2 linked regions of the Oryzias latipes genome follow. The protein of the gene in region 2 interacts with the protein of the main gene of each other region in a pairwise test. Links are inferred from orthologs where the notes say so. Each region holds a gene or a part of one and is shown on either strand. Other genes may lie near its edges.

Region 1 (2,360 bases), about 260 kb from region 2:
CTAGCTTACACCCCCTCACAACCCCAACCGTATATTACCGGCGCTACAAAAATGGCGAGCAACATTGGAGCTATCCAGCTGTAGAGTTTTGAGCCAGATGCCAGCTCAGACGAGGAAAATGAAGACGTTAATGGATCTATTTGTCTGAAAGTGGATGCATCAGAACGAAACTGAGCAGGGAGACTTTGGCCCATCCATTTCAGTTGTGTCACAAAAGAAAGCCTTTTCAAACTGGATTTTATAGTCTGCTCCTGGGTCATTCTGATTTGAATAAGTACTCAGAAATCTTAAATAAATGTCCTCCTCGTGAAAAGAATTCTACAAGAACATGTTAAAATCCCCCAAAACACTATTTTCATTGGAGTGGGTCTTTAAAACCTATTGTATGCAACTTCAAAAATGTTTTCTGCCCTGAAGTTCAACAACATTCCACTAGGGGCAGTAGTGGAATTTCAAAATGGCTGCTTCAGTGAAATCTCAAAAACCTTGTTGGTTGGAAAAGTTTAGCTAATTTTTCTATACTTCATGGTCAGAATAGCTCCTTTATTGTTATTCATTTCTAAAATGACTACTCGCTGAATTAAATAAATGCAAATTTTGTTGACAGTAAATTCTTTCTAACAATGTCAATACCATGTCAATAATATGTGGATCAAATTTGAGACAGTGAATAAATAAGGTGCTTTTTTGTCCTGAACATTCATGTCAGAGTTTGCACATCTTAAACTAACATTGTTGCGAGCAAAAATTTACCAAATGACCCCACCCTTACATGTTATTCCTTGTTATTCCTAACATGACAAAGGTGGATAGAGGTGGAAAGATTTCATGTAATCCATGGACACCAGTGAAGATCACAAATCAGTGAAGAAAAAAGGTTCAGAGCACTGTCTAGTGGGTCTAGATGACCCAACTCCCAATCTTAAAGAAGTACCATAAAAATCTTCTATTTTGTAAATTTTTCCCCTTTAAAATCCATTCATAAAGTAGAATCATGTATTTATTAGTGATGCTTTGAACATTGATATAAATAAACAGGTTGCTCTTTGGTTGGTCTAAAGGAACATTCTTAGAATCGTTAGACCTCTTAAAATAAGGGGATTACATTTGCTTAAATGAGATTTCTGGACACCATGCTTAAGAAATGTCTTACTGCAAGAAAGGATGTCATGTTGTGTAAAAATCTGCTTGTGGTTTCATAAGGTTCTCCCTCATTTGAGACTTTTGCAACTCTAAAGTCTGCGTTTCTGATGTGTTTTGTTTTGTATGTTCTGCAGCTTAAAATGAGATATTTTTGTCGATTTCTGTTTTTCTTTCATGGCAGAGAATGGACCGGGGATCTGAGAAAACTTCCAAACATTAAACTGCGAAAGGTGTCGAATAAAGGGCTGGGCACAAAGAATGAAGGAAAGGAGGATGTAGAAGAGGAACATAAAGAAGATAAGGATGATTGCAGTTATGAAGATGAGTCAGCGCAGATGTCCGACTCCCACTGAGACTGCAATGAGGCTTTTGTGGAACTGCCACCAAACTGGCCTTAAAATAAAGGACTCCTGTGAAGCACCTGACCATGCTGAGCTGTGTTCGACTGAACGACGTCACCACAGCAGCCTCACTCGGGGTTCTACATTCAGTCTTTATTGCACAGACAAAAATGGGCGTTACACCCAGAGAATCATGTGAAACGTCAAAGTGAATAAATAAAGCTGTAGAAAAGTGGATGAACTGTGGTCTATTTCAGTGCAGTGTGACCAAACAGCTTTAATCCAAGTTACAAACTGATGGCAACAATAACATTTCTAGTGACACAAATGCATGAAGAACTGATCTCCAGTGAACGAGAACACACAGCTCCAATCAAAACAGCTACTTGAGGTTCGATTTTAACATTTAACACATTCCTATGGCAATAATATATATGTATATATATATATTTGAAACATTAGATTTTTATACTTCAGACGGAATTACAATTTATTTTTGAATACCTGTTTCTGTACTTGTGAACTCTGACTCTTTGGTGTCTGGTGTCCTGATTGTCCAGAGCTAATGTTAAGGCCCCAGTATGCTTCAAAGTGCAATTCAGATTTCAGCAGAGGCTCTGGAACGAGGGTCACAACAAACTCTGATCCTCTTTTTTTTTTTCTGCATCAACAGAAAGCTTTAGTGGGACTGATGACTCATCCAAATGCATTTTACGTGTTTCAGCTGTTATTCTTCTTTGAACATTCAGTATCTGCTGGTTATAAGATAAAATAATAGTGGTCAAAAAGAAAAGAGGGTTTGGATTAACCCTTGTGCTATCTTAGATGACCCCCACCCTTATATTGACGTGTTCTTCCTACCATGACAAAGGTGGA
Region 2 (3,662 bases):
AGATGGGACACCTGTGCAGCCTGAGCTGAGATGTCACACAGCCAGTGGCACGCAGTAATCTGTTCAGAAGGAAGCAGATGTAAAAAGTATGAAACTACACACAAGACACATGCAGAGTAGCCAATGTTTAAAAGCTGAACAACCGTTGTGACAAAACTTTATTTTGTTTTCTTCTATTTTGTAAACTATATCACTAGCTGTGTTACTACATATAAAAAAAAGATAGTTTAGTTAAGAAGTGAATTCCAATCCTTGACTCTACCTCTGTTTTCCTACAAGGCTAAAGGGTACGTGTAGAAATTAGGGGTGTGTACCTTTCCCTCTCACATGATTTGATACATGGTCCATGAATCGATACATAAATGATTCAACTAACCTAGTGGCATCAAAATACAGTCTATTTCTTTTACCTTAATGGATACAATCCAAATATTTACTACTCATTTGGTGTTTAAAGCTATAAATGACAATGTCTTTTAACAGACATGTCTTTTTTTTCTAACTGGCACTTTTATTAAGCAACAACAGAAATAACTACCTTAAACATAAATATCTGGCATTTGAGGATTGTTTAACTGTTTTCTGGTTTTAAAATAGGTGTCAGGGGTTATGCTATGTTTAATGTAGTTCAGCCAATTGTAACTGACCCAAGCAAGCTTGTGATTGGATGTCTTTCTTTTTCTCACATCACCTGCACATACAAAAACAAAGGCAAAGACAGTAGACATAGCAGGAAAAGAAATGCACTATAATTGCTAAAAATTAGTTGTTCGCTTTCCGATAGATTTTTGTAATACTTTTTACTAGAGATGTGACAATTCTCCGTTTAAAAACTGAACTATATGTTACTCTATTGAACTGAATCGTGGCAAAGTGTTTCATTGCATCCCTACTACATACCAGGATTTTTACACTGAAAGTCAAACACGTGTGTATTATTGTTTATTTGATAACATTACACCAGGCTTAGACAGCTGAAATCTTTTTTTTTATTGTTACTGTCTTATTTTAGAAGTAAAAACTGAAATTTTTGAATTTGTTGTTTTTTTTTGTTGATGTTTTGTTATACACAGATCATATATTGAACCTAAACAACACCGTGACTAAAAAATCTATGTTTGAACTGAATCAGGGAGACAGCGAATTGTTGCATTCCTGCTTTTTATAAATATAATCTCATTGGTATCTGTGCATTTTTCCAAATGGACATGTTAATCTTTACATCCCATAGTAGAAATGCAAGCACTGCGATAGCTATGATCTCAGTAAAATCTTTTGGAAACTACTGTGGTTGGTGCATAAAATAATAAATAAATAAAAAAAAGTTATGGCCTAGATTAAGGATGGGCAACTTCAGGCCTCGAATGCCACATTCTTGCATGTTTTCCAACATTCTCTGCTCTGGCATTTTCTATTTGGCTGGACACACCCGAACCAGGTAATAAGTCAGGTGTTGGGCTTGGATATCTGGAAATCATACAGACACAGCGGCCCTCAGGGCCTGGAGTTGGCTATCCCTGTTCTAGAATATAATATTTAAAGAATTAAGTATGTGCACAAATTATTTGATATGAACAATTATCTTAAAAAAAGATTAGTGCATTGTTTTTATAATGTGAAGTCCTCTCAGACGGACATTGAACACTTATAACACAAATATAACCCATACAATGGGTTTCTTGACTAAAAAACATCCACTTTTGCATGACTTAATATTCTATGTTAAGAGCATTGATAAAGAGTTATCGCTTTATCTAAATCAACATTCGAAAGACACTCCTCTTTCCTGATGTAAAGCTTGGGCCAAAATGCAGAATTGGATTCACCTATAGTCACTTTTAGAGTGGTTGCTCGATTGACGTAACAGATGTAACCGAACTGTGTTCAGACCTTGTGTTGCTTTGCTGTTTTCCAGGCGCTGCTGCCTGCAGCAGGGCTGCTCCAGCTCAATGAGGTGAAAAAGGCTTGCTGTGAGTTCCTGGGCGCTCAGCTTCATCCATCCAACTGTCTGGGGATTCGCGCTTTCGCTGACTTACACGCCTGCTCCCAACTGCTTGTGCAGGCTAACAGCTATGCAGGTTCTTGTGGCTTTAAAAGTCCGTTCACACACATATGTTTTTAGGATCTAAAATCACACCTAGAATGATCCAATAATGCCTATGATCTCAATCGTAACGTATTACCTTTACATATAAGACGTCTTTGCCACTTGTTGTTTAGGGTTACATCAGAGTCGTGTACTTTTCCAGTTTTTTGTAGGTCATTGTCATGCAGTGCAGTGATACTCACTTTATTGAAGCGAGTTTATGGGAGTCCAGAAGAATTTGGAACAAAAGAGGGGACAGAATGAGGACGGGTGTAATTAATGGCCCGTTGGAGAGAAGCAAACTTCTTGCATGTTTTGTCTGCTGCCACAGAAAGAGGCTGTAAAACTTTTGTCTTTGTGATGACAGAGCAACACTTCACTGAGGTGGTTGGAAGTGAGGAGTTTCTCAATTTGGGCATGGAGCAAGTGTCCAGCCTGATTGCAAGTGACAAGCTGACGATCCCCACTGAAGAGAAGGTATACATTTGTCTCGATGGCCATCCACGATAGGGCTCTCAGGTTATTGTTCAGATTTACAGATGTATCTTGTAAACAGGTGTTTGAGGCAGTGATTGCTTGGGTCAACCATGACAAAGATGTCCGCCAGGAACACTTGGCTTACCTAATGGAGCATGTTCGCCTGCCACTCCTCTCCAGAGAATACCTGGTGCAGGTATGTATTCCTGCTGTCGGTCTTTTCCTACCTTTGTCTCGTGTCTTTTTCTGTACATTTTGAACCATTGACTATATAATGAAACTGGACAAGTTGTGTGTGAGACGTCACCCTTGCCTCTAGTTCCAACCGTTGACTGTAGAAACGATGGTCAGCTCAACCCCTCCCTTCTCGTGTTCCCAAATAGGAAGTAACATTGCTTTCTAATACGAGTGCCGCCATGTTGAAACCTGTCATCGTATCTATGACAACTACTGTCGCCATTGCCATAGATACGATGGCTCAGAGCGACTCTGACTAATCACTGTCGACTGGTTTTTACGGGCCTGTGTCAGGAAGGAATGGTGAGGGTTTTTGCCTCATTTCGCGAGAGCTGGAGGTAAAGTTCCAACCAAATGAAATCAATTTAGTTTCCATTTTTCTGCAATATGTCCATCGCCAAGTTGGAACCAGACATCCTCAGTACTCCATGATTGGTCTGTCTACATTTCTGTGGCAACCACTCTCTCCAATCAGGAGTGAGCACCCCTACACCTGAAAGTGGGCACTGTAGAATCTGTCAATCAAATGCTTTGAATGTTCAACGTGAGGCCACCTAATTTTATTAAGGCATCTGATTGGTCAATTTATAACTTGAATAACTTGCGCTACAGCAAAAATATAGTGGAAAAAAAAATCAGGATTCGCAAGAACATATTGATAAACGGTATTAGAGCAAGAATGGTTATTCTGAAGAACATTATGAATGACTAATAGCTATTTATTTCTCAATAGAGGTCTATGGGATTTTTGCTTTTTTGGACCAGCGGTTACCCCTTATTTGGAACGCAAGGGAGGAGGGGTCACTCAGTCCAGTTCTCATTTACTGTCAATGATTTGAACAACAAGGGGTGTTTTGTAGGG

What was found.
Region 1: the proteins of klhl2 (region 2) and tma16 interact in binary tests that used the Homo sapiens proteins (3 or more experiments, as listed by UniProt). The two-hybrid records come from large-scale screens. The link is inferred for Oryzias latipes from reciprocal best matches to the Homo sapiens genes KLHL2 and TMA16.

What each region holds. Positions count from the first base shown.
Region 1 is NC_019859.2:19,507,547-19,509,906, forward strand, and holds the end of tma16 (translation machinery-associated protein 16), read left to right. Parts: intron 1-1,324; coding exon 1,325-1,496; 3' UTR 1,497-1,721; downstream 1,722-2,360. UniProt on the Homo sapiens protein: Involved in the biogenesis of the 60S ribosomal subunit in the nucleus.
Region 2 is NC_019859.2:19,769,427-19,773,088, forward strand, and holds part of klhl2 (kelch-like protein 2), read left to right. Parts: intron 1-1,915; coding exon 1,916-2,078; intron 2,079-2,453; coding exon 2,454-2,563; intron 2,564-2,642; coding exon 2,643-2,759; intron 2,760-3,662. UniProt on the Homo sapiens protein: Substrate-specific adapter of a BCR (BTB-CUL3-RBX1) E3 ubiquitin ligase complex that mediates the ubiquitination of target proteins, such as NPTXR, WNK1, WNK3 and WNK4, leading most often to their proteasomal degradation.